Canis lupus familiaris: one gene and its partners. The protein of the gene in region 1 purifies or fractionates together with the protein of each later gene. This does not show direct contact. Links are inferred from orthologs where the notes say so. Each region holds a gene or a part of one and is shown on either strand. Other genes may lie near its edges.

The links. Proteins that work in one complex are often made in the same cells at the same time.
Region 2: the proteins of SINHCAF (region 1) and SAP30L purify together in Homo sapiens (affinity purification with mass spectrometry; 3 studies listed by BioGRID and IntAct, counting the BioPlex papers as one, with this or other methods). This does not show direct contact. The link is inferred for Canis lupus familiaris from reciprocal best matches to the Homo sapiens genes SINHCAF and SAP30L.
Region 3: the proteins of SINHCAF (region 1) and BRMS1L purify together in Homo sapiens (affinity purification with mass spectrometry; 3 studies listed by BioGRID and IntAct, counting the BioPlex papers as one, with this or other methods). This does not show direct contact. The link is inferred for Canis lupus familiaris from reciprocal best matches to the Homo sapiens genes SINHCAF and BRMS1L.

Annotation. Positions count from the first base shown.
Region 1 is NC_049248.1:29,113,329-29,118,071, reverse strand, and holds the end of SINHCAF (SIN3-HDAC complex-associated factor), read left to right. Parts: intron 1-1,562; coding exon 1,563-1,722; 3' UTR 1,723-3,667; downstream 3,668-4,743. UniProt on the Homo sapiens protein: Subunit of the Sin3 deacetylase complex (Sin3/HDAC), this subunit is important for the repression of genes encoding components of the TGF-beta signaling pathway.
Region 2 is NC_049225.1:56,124,401-56,129,631, reverse strand, and holds the start of SAP30L (histone deacetylase complex subunit SAP30L), read left to right. Parts: upstream 1-2,106; 5' UTR 2,107-2,121; coding exon 2,122-2,319; intron 2,320-5,231. Other genes in the region: uncharacterized protein LOC111095576, read right to left, coding at 1,171-1,240.
Region 3 is NC_049229.1:14,647,794-14,653,022, reverse strand, and holds the start of BRMS1L (breast cancer metastasis-suppressor 1-like protein), read right to left. Parts: upstream 3,126-5,229; 5' UTR 2,975-3,125; coding exon 2,833-2,974; intron 1,880-2,832; exon of another isoform or gene 1,774-1,879; intron 1-1,773. UniProt on the Homo sapiens protein: Involved in the histone deacetylase (HDAC1)-dependent transcriptional repression activity. When overexpressed in lung cancer cell line that lacks p53/TP53 expression, inhibits cell growth.

The DNA.
Region 1 (4,743 bases):
TATATCATGACCAGATTAGGTTTATTCTAGTGATGTAAGATTGGATTAAACTAATTAAAAATCAACTGATAATAAAGTTGCCATGTTGACAGTTTGTAAAGAAAGGGGGAAATACCTATTTTTTTTTTTTTTTTTTAGGATTTAATTTTTATTTATTTGACACAGAAAGCACAAGCAGGAGGAGCAGCAGAGGGAGAGGGAGAAGTTAGGCTCCCCACTGAGCAGGGAACCCAATGTAGGACTTGATCCTAGGACCTTGGGATCCTGCCTATGAAGGCAGACACTTAACCTACTGAGCTACCCAGACGCCCCCAAATGCCTACTATCTTAGCAGTACTTTAAAGATGTTTGACAAATCTGAATGTTCATCAGGGTTTAAGATAAAACCCTTATTAGTTAATAGGAATAGAAAGGAACCACATTGATAAATAACTGGCATTTTTGGGTAAACACAAACATGTTTCCATTTTATATCCCAGCAACAGAACCTATAAAAAACCTTTAGGAAAAAAAAAAAAAACCTTTAGGCATGCATTAACGTGTATGGCATGTTTATAATAGCAGTTGTCCCATCCAAAGGAGAGTGGATAAATAAATTATGGTATATTCACTTGATAGAATATGATACATAAAATGAAATAAAAGCCCTAACAATAGGTATGAACCTCAATTAATGTTGAGCAAAAAAAAATTGCAGGATAGAGTGTGACTCCATATATGTGTTGTTTTTTTAATTAATTGGACATAACCGAGCAATATATGTAGAGATGCAGACATGGTAAAACCATGAAGTGTAAAGAAAAAAGTAATGATAGGCTTAAAATTAAGAGGAGAGAATGAGATGGGGTGGGGTGGAATTGGAGAGGGGCATAGAGGGGAACTTCATAGGAAAAGGTTCTTTTTTTTCCCTTATATGTGGTCCATGGTGTTTTGTTGTACTCTCGTTTTTTTAAGCTGTGGTGTATATTTGATTATATATATTTGCCAGTTGTATCAGCCTGTTTATGATGGCTGGGTTTTTTTTCAAGAGTTACTGATTTTGGGCAGCCCCGGTGGCTCAGCGGTTTAGTGCCGCCTGCAGCTCAGGGCGTGATCCTGGGAACCCGGGATCGAGTCCCACGTCGGGCTCCCTGCATGGAGCCTGCTTCTCCCTCTGCCTGTGTCTCTGCCTGTCTCTCTCCTCTCTGTGTATTCTCATGAATAAATAAATAAAATCTTTAAAAAAAAAAAAAAAAAGAGTTACTGATTTTTAGAGGAAACAGTTTATAACTTTAGGAGCCGTTTCTGAAACTGTTATCTCAGAATGACCCCTGTCCCCTTTAATACTTGGTAAGATTCCAGTGTGGGATTTAAGGGACCTGGGTAATTCCTATAACTTAGCTAATTGGGGGCCTTTCTAGGAGCCTTCATTTGAAATGTGATGAGACCAGAGAAGTGAACCCTTTGATCATGTTGTATTGTTACAGTGTTATAGATTTCTCCCCCCTTTTTTTGTTTTCTTGTATTACTAGTTTTCTACCTTATTAATATATTTCTCCCCCACCCCCTTTTTTTTCTTTTAGACAGAAAATATGTTGTGGAATTATCTATAAAGGCCGTTTTGGGGAAGTCCTCATTGACACACATCTATTCAAGCCTTGCTGCAGCAACAAGAAAGCAGCTGCTGAGAAGCCGGAGGAGCAGGGGCCAGAGCCTCTGCCCATCTCCACTCAGGAGTGGTGACTGAGGTTTAGGTAGAAGGGGAACAAAAATGATTTAAATTTTGGAAAGAAAACAAAGCAACAAAACCCTCCTATTTTTAACTTGGATACATGCTATTCTGCCAAAAGACAATTTCTAGAATAGTTTTGAATGGGTTATTTCTTCTCCAGTTCCACAAACTCTGAAGCCAGTGTCTAGCTTACTGAAAGAAAAAAAGAAGTGTACATAATATTTAAGATGCTGAGTATTTCATAGGAAAGCTGAATGCTGCTGTAAAGTGCTCTTTAAGTCTTTTTTTTTTTTAATCCCCTTCTAATGAATGAAACTAGGGGAATTTCAGGGGACAGAGATGGGATTTGTTGTATGATAAACGTATGTAGTTTTAGTCTTTCTATATTGAGAAGCAGTGGTTGGGGCATTTTTTAAGACGGCTATCCTTGTTTTCCTTCACGATAATAAATTTGTCATAACTCAGTAACATGGACTTGCCCCTAGAGGTAGTTGTTAATAATTCTGAAAAAATAAGGTCTTGCCAAGGTTCTGATGATTCAAACCTGTACTACTGAATATGAAGCAGGACAGACTAAGCTCTGGCGCAAATACCTTGAAGGAGTAATCTCTAAATATACAGAGAGGTAACCTGACTGTATATGTTGCATCCTGTGTCACCTCCATATTGATATTTGATAAAAGATTTTTATCTATATTGAAACTTCTAAAGCAGAGTCAAATCTTTGGGGAAATGTCAAGTTTTAGGATGAGCAGTCCTAGATGAATAGTACCAAAGCATTACCACCTGGTAGAGATCACATTCTGTTAAAAAGGTTAAATTATCTTAAAAAAATGTGCAAGTCTTCAGGATGGCGCACACAAAAAAACAAAGGTTAATGCTTCTTGGGGCACATTTCTTAGAGGGCTTGCCTAGTGTGTAAATAATTGACTTTTGTTTGTGTTACATGACTGGTGACTTCATCGAAAATCTGCACAATTCAGTTTTAGCTCTGGATTACTTCAGTTGACCTTTGTGAAGGTTTTATCTGTGTAGAGTGGTTGTTTGACTTGTTTTAACCTATTAGGGTTTTGGGTGGTATTTTTTTTTTTTTTTTTTTCACATATTAAAGTAAAATTCTACTAAAAGAAAAGAGGTGTGTGTTAATGCTGAGTGGGTTGGCTTAGGTTTGGTTTCTTCTAGTCAGGCTTTTTGAACCTTGAGATATTAGACGATACATCCTGAACATGGAGCTCTTCAGTTCTAAAATCTTCATTTGAAAGCCTTTTACTTGAACCCAAACCAAAGTACTCTCATTGCCTCTTTTCTAAATGTTCAGAAAAAATGTATCACCAGATCATACTTTTCATAATAAGGGAGGATCATTTGCCTACCTTATATTAACATGACTCAGTGCTTATTTTTAAAACTGGATTTTTAAAATTGGATAGTATAAATAACAATAAGGAGTGAGCCACTTTTTATGGGCACCCTATAGTTTTATAGTTCTTAATCTAAACTTAAAATTTTATATTTCTTCCTTATGGCAAAAACTACAAGCCACCATATATGCACAGACTACACAGTGAGTTGGGTTGGCTCTCCCACAGCCGTTGAGGTGTGTTACAAGAGTCCCGGCCATGATCATCTTCCTCCTGTCATTTTGAAATGGTTTGTTTTTTTGTTTTTTTGCTTTTTGTTTTTGTACATTTTGGCTACAGTATTGGTGGTAGAATATACTATAATATGGATCATCTCTACTTCTGTATTTATTTATTTATTGCTAGACCTCAACCACAGTCTTCTTCATCCCCTTCCACCTCTTTGCCTGTAGGATGTACTGTATGTAGTCATGCACTTTGTATTAATATATTAGAAATCTACAAATCTGTTTTGTACTTTTTATACTGTTGGATACTTATAATCAAAACTTTTACTTAGGGTATTGAATAAATTTAGTCTTACTAGAAAATAAAAGAAGCTGTTCTGTGGCTTTGTTTAAAAGGTGTTCCTAGGTAAGAATGACTAATGTATTTGGCTTCACAGATACTCAGTTTAACGCCCTTAGTATTATAACAAGCCATGAAGGGAAAAAGTCCTCTTTATCAAGAGATGCTTTAAAATAAAGACATTTTGGGGATCCCTGGGTGGCTCAGCGGTTTAGTGTCTGCCTTCAGCTCCGGGTGTGATCCTGGAGTCCTGGGATTGAGTCCCACGTCAGGCTCCCTGCATGGAGCCTGCTTCTCCCTCTGCCGGTGTCTCTGCCTGTCTCTTTCTGTGTCTCTCATGAATGAAAAAAAAGATATTTTAACTGATAATACCCAGTAATTAACCTAGTAAATAACATGATTTTATTACTGAAGGACAAATTCTCGAGTAGTTGGTTGATTTCTTTTTTCTCTTCCTTTTTTCTTTTCTGTTCTGCTTTTTAAATTTTATTTTATTATTTAAAGTCTAGGGTTTTGGGCAGCCCTGGTGGCGCAGCGGTTTGGCACAGCTTGCAGCCTGGGGTGTGATCCTGGAGACCCAGGATCGAGTCCCACATCGGGCTCCTTGCATGGAGCCTGCTTCTCCCTCTGTCTGTGTCTCTGCCTCTCTCTCATTTTATTTATGAATAAATAAATAAAATCTTTAAAAAAAAATAAAGTCTAGGGTTTTAATGTCTCTGACACGGTTTTATTATTACTGTCTAGGCATAGTGGGAATCATAATTGAGACTCTAAAGAAATTATAAAAACTGGTTATAGGGACAGGTGGATTTCAGCATTGGAGTCACACATGGTCTCTGATATCTGGCTCTGATCCTTTATTAGCCATTTGAGTCACTTGGCCTTTGTGAGCCTCCAAACTTACGTAAAATGATATACTTTACCGAATTATTTACTTCTTAAAATTATGAGGAATCTATAAAGGGATGTAATCCGTATCAAAGTTTTTTTTTTTTTTTTTTTTAATTAAGATTTTGAGAGAGGGATCCCTGGGTGGCTTAGCGGTTTAGCGCTGCCTTCAGCCCAGGGCGTGATCCTGGAGAACCGGGATCGAGGCCCACATCA
Region 2 (5,231 bases), on another chromosome or scaffold:
ACTTCTCCAATTCATTATCAATTCTTTGTTGAAGAGTCGAGTGATGAATCATTACATACAGAAAAAATTTACACTGATGTTGAAACTAAACGCTGAAAACATCACAAAATACCTAATTTTGAAGATGCTATTTTCCTTAACCACTTCTCTTGTGGAACTTGAGGTTCTTTTTCTATTTTCTTGTTATAAATAATCCTACAATGAACATCATTGTTTAAATTTTTTTTTTCTTTTCCCTCTCCGGTAGGCCAATTTCCTGAAATGGCTGTCCTGCGTGTGCAATTACTAGGCTAGAGGGTACAAATACGTTTAAGGTCACAGAAGAAAATTTCAGATCACAGGGTGTCTGCTTCCAAACATGGAAACCGGTAGCTTGCCCTTTTTCATCAAGATACAAACCAGAAGCCTCTAGAATGCCAAGCCTACCCCCGCCCCCGCCCCCGCCCCCGCCCCATCCTGCCCCGGTCAGTGCTAACCCGTCCCCAGGCGCGGGCCCGACTGCGGGACCTGGGCTCGTCGCCGTGGGCCAGAGGCCCGGGTGTGCCCGCCAGCTGCCCGGCGGCGGCCGGCCTGGGGTGCTAGCCTAGATTTCCCCGAGGCCCTGCTGGGTGTGTGCGACGCCCTGGCGCCCAGCCCCGAGCTCGGGGAGTCGGCAGGGCACGGTCACCTCGCGGATACCTCGGGAGGCTGAGAGCCACAGCAGCCGCCGCTGAGAGCCGCGGGGAGGGCTCGGGACGCTGCGAGCACTTCCCCCTGGCGGACGCGGGCCCTCATCCTCCCCGCCCCGACCTCTTCCTCGGGTCCCCGGCGGTTCCTCGAGCCCACCCCGCAGACCTCCCCCCGCCTCCGACTCTTCCCGGCCGAGGGGTCTCCCAAGCGCCCCGGGGGCCCCTGCCTCCCTGCCTCCCTCCCTCCCGCTCCCCGCGCGGCCCGGGTCTCCGCCCCCCTCGGCATCCGACTGCCTCGCAACACCCGCCGTCAGACCCCATCATCTCCTCTGCAAGCCCTTCCCCGCGTCTGCGCCCGGCTGCCCGTCGCTCAGCCCTTGCCGCCGCGTCCCCCGACCCGGGCCGCGGCCCCCGCGTTCTCCCCGCGCGTCCTTCCCAGGACAGAACCCCCAGCCGCGCCGGTCCCCCTCAGATGCCCCTCCGCGCCCCGCCCGCGCAGTACTGTACGCCGCCGAGCGTGCTCCTCTGTCCTGGAGTCTGGCCCTCCGTCCAGTCAGGCCCCGGCTCACCATCCCTCCCCCGGCCTGAAAGTCAGCGGCCGCTTCCCCGCCCGCACCCGGGCAACTCTTCCCTCTCGCACTTTCTCTACTTTGAACCCATCCCAGCAGAGTCCAGGAAGTAGCCAGGCGCCGGGGACTGGCGGCGGAGGCGCCCAATGGGGCGCGCCAGCGGCGGCGGCGGCCCCGCCCAGAGGGTGAGCACGGCCAATGGGCGCGCGGAGGCGGGACTTCCGCTGTCCCGCGGAGGGCGGGGGAGCGAACTGTTGTGGTGCGGCGCGTCGGGCGGGCGGCGGCTGGGCGGCCCAGGGGCTGCCGCGGGACTCGGGGCGCAGCCGAGCGGCTGCAGGGGTGGGGCGAGCCGGACGCGCCCCGGGGCCCGGGCGCCGCGGGTTCGAGGCCGGGCCCGGCGCGGGAGGCCGCGCCGCCCCGGGGGAGCTGCCCGGCGGTGAGTTTGCCCCGCAGCCGAAAGAAGGCGGGAGCCGGCGGGGGCCCTCGGAACCCCCTGGCGAGCCGGGCCCGGAGTCCCCGGGGAGCGGCTGCTTCCTGGGGCGCCTTCCCGGACGCCCCCGCCGAACGGCAGCGGTTCCGGGCCCCCGGCGGCAGGCGCCTCCGGGTGACCCCCGGCGGGGCCCTGCGAGCCGCGGCAGCCGACCCCGGGGCCTCGAGCGGGGAGGAAGGGGCTTCCCCGAGGCGCGGGGCCGGCGGCCGGAGGAGCGCGAGCGCGGCGGAGCGGAGCCGGGCCTCCCCGGCGCGGGGCAGGGCAGCGCCGCGTCTGCGGACGGACTCCGGGACCCTCGGGCGCGGGGGCCTGGGCGACCTGCCCCGCGGGGCGCGCGGCCGCGGAGTGGCCTGCCGGGGACCCCCCCGCAGAGGGGCCGGCCCGGGGCGGGGAGATGAACGGCTTCAGCACGGAGGAGGACAGCCGCGAAGGGCCCCCCGCCGCCCCCGCCGCCGCCCCGGGCTACGGCCAGAGCTGCTGCCTCATCGAGGACGGCGAGCGCTGCGTCCGGCCCGCGGGCAACGCCTCCTTCAGCAAGAGGGTCCAGAAGAGCATCTCGCAGAAGAAACTCAAGCTGGACATCGACAAGAGCGTGAGTCCGCCCCCGCCCCCGCCCCCGCCGGGCCCCCGCCGGGCCCCCGCGCGCCGCCCCCCTCGGCCGCCGTCCCCGGCTGCGGGCCGGACCCCCGGGGCCCTCCCCGCCCTGGGCCTCGCCGCCCTTTATCTGCAAACTGGGGAGTTGCACTCGGGATTTCAAAGGCCGCTTCAGCTCTGGCAGGCTCGGACTGGGATCCTGCCCAAATCCGGGAGGCTGGGGTCCGGGGGGGGGCGGGGGGCGGCGGTGTTCCGAGGACCTTTCCTGCCTGGGAAGGTCTGACGGCAGTTGAGGGCTTGCGGTATTGGTTTTGATACTGGGGCAGGGAGACCTGGGTTAATCCTGTTGGCCCACGAAGCTGCAAGTGTTGGGGAGGGGCGATGAAGGGACCCGGCTCTTCAACTGCTCTCTCCTCGGAACCCTGTGATCGCTTCAGAAAAGGAAAGGGGGCAGTTACTTCCCCCCACCCCACCGCCTCAAGCCACCGCCTCGGCTTCTGCAGAGGGTCACCGAGCTCGCTGCTTGCTGCTTCGCATGCAGCTGCGGGGAAATGGGATTTTCAAGGATGTGGCGGAAATAAGGCCAAGACCAGGTCTTGGGAGGTGGCTGTCTGCAGTCCAAGTGACCAGGAGGAAGAAAATCCATTTTCTTACGGGTAGCTTCTTTAGAAAGGCAGTTGGAGAAGGGGCGTTACATTTGAATAGAATCGCCCTGTGTTTTGTGCCTAATTATAGGAAAACTTTTCCTGTGTGATTTCACCACTTCTAGTTAACAATTCTAAAGATGTGCCTATTGTCAACCAATTAAGAACTTTTTAGTTTGACATCTGTTGCTGCAAGCCTTAAGTGGCTGCCTTGTGATTAGGAATTGGAAATGAGTTAAGGGTGCCTTTAATATTCAGGTAGACCAGCTAAGAGCTCAGGTGGTTAATATCCAGTCTCCTTTAGGACCAAAATTCCACTGTTGGGGAAAATTAGAGATTGCTTGTTAAACTGAAAGGACACACACTTTTCTGCTTCGGATCTTAGAGTGGACACTGAGGCCTAGAGATAAGAAGTGACCAGGCCAAAGTCACACAGTGACTAAGAGGCTGGTTAATTTCTTAAACCCATTATCTGACTTTCTTCTGAACACTATGCATAAGCTTTGATTAGGTCTAAATAAATAAAAAATCTTACTGCCTCTTCTTTCAGGCTCTTCCCTCCCATTCCCCTCCTCCCCCGCCTTTCTTTTAAGGTAACAATCAATATATTTGCCACTCTTGAAAGATGCTGTTTTTTTAAAAGGCCGGGGGAGGGGGGGGTTGTCAGTTAATGGCTTTCTTACTACAAATCTGTACCAATGAGTGAATGAAAGGAATTCAGAGAGCAAACAACTGGCTAGACACTAAGGAGGTCCAGATTAGGACATGTGTTGAAGTGAAATGCCTAATTCTAAGACAGCAGTGAATTTATCCTCTTGGAAACACTGCCTACCTTTTGTGTAGGTGGTTGGGAGCCTTTACTTGAACAGCTTATAATATTTTCCAGTCCTTAAAAAAAAAAGAAAGAAAGAAAAAGAAATTTCCAGTTCTTTTAAATTCTTGGATGCCATGACATCTGAACAACTGTGCTGCCACTCGGGGTCCATTTACCCAGTGACCCCACTGGAAAACCTGTGTTGAGCTATGTTGGTGGTTTCACACACAATGTCTAGGAGAGAGGCCGCATGAATGTGGCACTAGAGTTCCCCAAAAGTAATGTTTCTGGAGGAGTAGTGTTTCAAGGTGGAATCACTCACAATTTGTTTCAAGGTGGTGGTATAAAATCATTATTTCTGAAGGGGGATTCTACTTCGTTCTCACAGGCTTGGGCAGGAATTCAATTCTAAGTAACTGCCGTGTCACAAGAATTTTAGCTGTTGCAGAAAGTGAAACAGAAAAGAAAAACACTGGGGCTTTTGCCACCACCCTCGTTCCTCCACCCCTAGCCCCCAAAGGCCACTGAGCTCTGAAATTTCTGAAAATCAGTACGTACTTGAAAATCATTAAGGAGAAATAATGACTATTTATCTTGTAAAAGGGCCTAGCAGAAAACCTTTTAAAATAATAGCACCAGAAATCCAACTCAGGCAAACTCATTTCATGTAGACATTGGCAGTGCTCTATGAGTTATTAATATATAACATGCAATCAAGCATTCCTCCAATTGACATATTTCTGCTTTATTCTGGAGAAAAATGGAAGTTGAGAATAGTATAAAGAAAATGTTGTGGTAGGAAAGGACATGCACAAGGGGTCAGAAGGCGTGGGTGACCTTGGCCAAGCTCACAACCCCATCTGTGTGGCTTCTGTTTATCTCTGTAGAAAATGAGATTGGGGCCAGTGGGGTTACACTGGTGATTCTAAGTTCTCTTCCATCCAGAATTCCATTATTCTAGTGTCCTGACCTAAAACCTCCTGGCCACAGCTTCAGGAAGCCCCCTCCGCTGTCTGTTCTACCAAGCATGCCACTGTGAATTTGAGGAGCTGCTTAATCTCCGGGCTTACATGTGGAACTGGCTAACGTGAGGGCCAGCTTCCCATCAGGAACAGAGAGTATGGTGTGCGTGTGCTTTCTTCCCTGCCAAAAGCATGTCCGGCGGTCTATACATCAACTAGGCGGGATTCATTGGGACGGTGACACAAGCTGTGTCTGAAAGTCCTGTGGCAGAGTTGACACTGGCAAAGCTACTTGACTCTGTAGCCATACGTAAGGGCAGCTTTTGCTGGCCTAAGCTGCTTTTGGACGGCAGGGGCTGCCTGTCCTGGTGCAAGTGCACTTAGAGAATACCTGCTGTCTGCAAGATACAGTCACAGTAGCAGCTTAAAAGTGCTCAGGACTCACCAATCCAACCACATGAAAGTGGTGATTCATCTGACTAAAAAGCAA
Region 3 (5,229 bases), on another chromosome or scaffold:
AAAATAAACATTTATCCAAAATAATTTCCACTACAGATTTCAGCTTAAAGTACAAATGACAGTTAAAGCTATAGCAATCTCTAGACCTTCTTATTTTTATTCATTTTTAAATCATTTTAAAGAGCTGACATCAAGCTATACTATATGAAGTAATTAATCCATTCTGGGCTTATTTTCCATCAACTCCACAGAACTTAAGCACCAAAATGATTATGTCCATTAAAGAATAGTGCTCAAAAACACTTTTGGAATTCTTTCAGAACTGCTTACATGACTGATTTGCCAGTCACATAAAAAGAAAACTAATCTCATTCTATTTACAAGATATCTTAGTCTCCTACTCAGATTCTCATTGTTCCCTCTCCCCAAAATATTGTGAGAAAAAAAGGAAAATGAAGAGAAAAACAAGCAAACTTTTCAAGTAAAGCAACTGTTAATCAGCAGCTCTCTTCCTATATTCCATATCTTCTATTTTTACATCACATATATTCAGCACTTCAAGATAAGTGAAACACAAGATGATCTGCATCTTGATCTGCAAATAAACGTCAAACTATGTGAAAGAATTAAGTTATGTTCAGTTATTTTCAAACAGCAAGTAACTATAGAGTTCATTTAACTTTCCTAACATTAAAATTATTTCTGGCTCTTAATAGGTTACTCCTTGGCTATTTAAAACTTGGTCCCTCAAGATGACTCATTTTCCAATATCTCTGGATAGTAGAGTTTATTTTGTAGCTTTAGGATCTGCTCAGTACCAATGTTTGAGAAGAACAAAACTGGAAGTTTAACATGAAAGACATATAGCAGAAAAGAAATGCTTTCACAAGAAGCAAAACTGCATAATTTAAGTGATGTCCTTGCACTTAAAAATTGACTTGTAATTCAAATTGTTATTACATGCTTCAAAATTAAGTTGTCCATTATTAATTGGGATAGAATAAAAATCAGTGAAAAATTACAAAAGCCAGCGTAAAAATTAGGGAGAACTTTAACAAATAGATGTCATTTCGTGAGATCCTAGTTCTCATCAAAAAAACAAAGAACACTTGAAGATCAAGTGTTCTACAGATCTAGAAAATGTATTTACGTACAGCCTAGATGTTCTTTCTCTGTACTGCTCACTTTTGAAATCTCACCTACTTTGATGGCTAGGCAGATGACTTCCAAATTATGCTTCTAATCCCAGCCAGGTTCCAATGCCACATTTCCAACTGTCAATTGACACTCTGAAGTAAATATACCACCATCACCTCATAAACAACATGTCTGAAATACTCTATCTTGCATCTTCATCTCAAATTTTTCACTTTTCTATTTCCATTCATGCTACTACCATTTTCCCTGTACCTGGGCTTTTTCTCCTACCTTCACTCCTAAACTTGCATACATCAATTCTGTTTTGTGCCTTTTGGGAAATCTTTCACATTTGTATCTTCTTTTCCTTTTCTAGTTCAGGTCCTTCTTCCAACAAAACTGGTTTCTCACTTTTTTAAGCCTTAAGCTCTAGCCTTTGCACTTTTTCTTACATTCCTCCCAATCCAACATACCACCCGAATTTATACCATCCAAATTCTATCCATTCTCCAAGATAATTAAAGTAAGCCCACGTTTTCAACTAGCCTTTGCTGGCCACCCTATTCTGAAAAGATTTCCTCTGCCTCTGAAATCCTAAAGCATTGTTTACAGGTAAGTATTCATCTGGCAGTTTACTCAAGTACTGATTTATGACAGCTGTTTAATTGAGATCAGATCATAACCATTTATTTATACCTCATACTGAGTGGTGCCCAATGCAGCTCAAGGAAATCACTCATAAATGCCTATTTGGAGATGGCTAATTTATTGATTGAAATTACATCCTTTCATGGAGACCTTTGAAAGAGAAACCTGAAAAAAAGAGGGTGTCAGGGCAATAACTGACCATCATCAAATCCTCGCTTTACACGGCCAAAATCAGGCCAGGACAAATTAAAGTTTCATCCTCGTCAAATGGAAAGAAGAAAAATAATACAGGCAATCACATATCCCATTTCTTTTTTTAATAACCATCCTAAAAGTTTGCAAAATTGACCTTGATATTAATCTGCCCTCCGACCCAAAAAACCTGAAGCAGCCCGAAATCAGAAAAGGTCGCAGGAATAAAGATTTGGAAAATTTCAGAGCTGCTCCAAATCGGCCAATTTATAAGCATATATGAAGACCCAAAACCACCCCTGACGTGGGCTCTCCTCTAGTCTTGCAAAGTTCAGACAGATGCTGTAAATGGGACAGCTCCAGCCCCCGCAAGAGTGCTAATGTCAAGTATTGACTGACAGGCTTGGAAACTGCGATTAACAAATTCTAAACCAGCAAGAGCCAGCACAAATCTAACTAATCTCGGCCCTGACAACCCACCCATGTTGAGAAGGGTTGGAAAGATTAAAAAAAAGAAAAGAAAAGAAAAAGGAAAGAAGTCGGTGGTCTGGGGCCAAGAGGCATTTCCAAGGTCTTCCAAACAAGCTGCGGGGCATTTCCCGCTTTGGTCCAGTCCCGGGCACTGCCCGGAGGTCCCCTGGGCGGGTCCCACGGCGAGCAAGGCGGCGCAGCGTCTCGGAGCTGGGCGAGCCCAGGCCCGCGCCCGGTCCCGCCCCGCCGGCAGGGACCCGCCTGGAGCCAGGCAGCGCCCCACGACGAGTCCGGGTGCTGCCGAGGGCCGGGAGCCAGTCTCCGCCCCTTCCCTCTCTCCCCGCCCCGCACTCCCAGCAGGACGCAGCTGCCCGGCGTGCGGAGAGCGGCCTGTCGTGCGCCCCGCGCGAGGACTCCGGCTCCCGGCCCCGCTGGCTTGCACACCTGAGCTATCTCCATCCTCGGAGACCGACGAGCTTTCCGTGTCCTCGTCCTCTGAGCTGCTCCCCTCGTTTTCGGCGTAGTCCACCTCCATCTCATCGTGATGGTTCGTCTCCTTCTTATCCCCTCGGGAATGGACTGGCATTTTCCAGCCGCGCCGTCGCTTCCCACTCCCGGCGCCCAGCCCAGCCACCGCCGCTTCAATGAAGGGCGCGCCGAACGCCCCGACCCACCCAGCGGCCGAGCGCGTTCTGAACCCCCTCAGCTCCTCCCCGCCCCCGGCCCGTGCCTCACAACCTAACCCGCAGGCTCTGAGCTGGGAGCTCTGCCATTGGTGGAGGCAGTCCTCCGAGCCGGGGGGGTGGGGCTTCCCCTGCTCCGGGATGGTTGGTTGCCCGTAATTACGGCGCGGCCTTGCAATGTGTGTCGGGAGTCGTAGTCCTTACTGCTCAGCCCTGCAGGGGCTGCCGCCTTCCAAGCTTCAGCAACCCTGTTCACTTCTTGCTTGTGGACTTCAAGTCCCACAAGGCACAAAACCTGACAGACTCGCTCGCAGTTTATAAACTAAACAGAAACAGATTGTGTGAATTTGGACCGTATTTATTCTTTTCCCGCCAAATGATTGTCCAAGCTCCAGTGCCATCCAAGATGTTACTGTCAGATGTGAGAAGGTCTTTTGCCTGAGGGTTTTCTTCCTTTCTTTGAGCCTGGAGGAACTGGAGAAACTTCCACCTAAGCACCTTTATTATCGTTAATAAGCTTTTTAATTAATAAGTGCAGACGATGACTTGTACTTTTTATGTTGCACAAAAATCTTTAAACCGTTCTTGAAACACTTGCAATCAACAATATAGAAAGGGAGGAAGTTTTATCTTGCCATTTTCATCAAGTATTTTTTGCATTCATTTTTTTACTACATACAGCCTGAAGATGCCACTAGGCTTGATTTTACTTAAATTTTCGATGAAAAATACACATTTGACTCAATGAAATGTTAGCTTTTCTCAATGATGGTAAAATAGACAAGGAAGTCTCAATAAATATCATAATCCATAATCATAATAACTCCTATTAACTGACTACTTTTACCCTGTATTAGGTGCCCTGATGAGTTCTTTACATGAGTCATAATGAGTTTAATTCTCCATAGGTTTAATCTCTCCGAGGTAGGTACTATTATTATCCCCATTTTACAGATAAGGAAACTTAATTTGCAGGCAAATCAAAAAATTGTATTTTAGCCACTCTTTAGAAGACAGAGCTGCTTCTTGAAGTGGTAATTTGCTATTGAAATATTTCATAGAATATTGTGAATTGTACAGCATTTATTTCTCCAACGAAGTCCAAAGACATTTGAAGGAGAATGGTAAGGGTATCCAGGCATAACTGCATTAAAGTTAGATTGAGAATTTAATGACAAACCATTTCAAATTCTACCAATTTCTGTAGGGTAAAATCCAAATTAAGGGGCTTTTATCATCTAGTGTCAGCCTACTTCTCTCCTTCTTACTAGATTCTCCAAAACTGAACTCTTCAGTTGCTAAACACACAGTTCCCCACCCATTCCAATGTCTTTGCACATCCTATTCTCTCTCTGCAATCCTCTCCCATCTCTTTTTTTTCAAAGGCATTTTCTTGACAACATGCATTACCAAACCAGTACCTCCACCATTCAGTATGCACTCATGTTTTTTCAGACTGCTGCTGTACTTTGTCCTTTATATTTGTTTTCTATCACACTGTATTGTGAATTTTTTGGCTGATGCGCCCCACCAATTAGATGGTGAGTACCTTGAAAGCAGAGACAGTCTTAGTCTGGGATACAATTTCAGAAACATACATTAAAGTCAGGTAAAGTTCAAAGATGGAAACTGGAACGGTGCGAGCACATGGATATACATTATGTGAGTGGTGCGGATTAAAGGGGGCAACTGTTTTAGCTCCAGCCAATTATTTTTTTAAATTTTTTTTTAATTTTTTTTTTATTTTTATTTATGATAGCCACAGAGAGAGAGAGAGAGAGAGAGAGAGGCGCAGAGACACAGGCAGAGGGAGAAGCAGGCTCCATGCACCGGGAGCCCGACGTGGGACTCGATCCCGGGTCTCAAGGATCGCGCCCTGGGCCAAAGGCAGGCGCCAAACCGCTGCGCCACCCAGGGATCCCAGCTCCAGCCAATTATTATATAAAAATTCTGGCTTAGATGTTGGACCTTCCAATTTTTGAGAGATACTAGATATTTAGGTCTCTATATGAGCTATCTAGATTTATAAACATTTTCTCAGGTGTATGGTTTTTTGGGTTTGGTTTTTTTCTTTTTTGGTGGTGGTGGTTTGGTTTCTTTTTTTCTTTTTTTTAAGATTTTATTTATTTATTCATAGAGAGAGAGAGAGAGAGAGAGA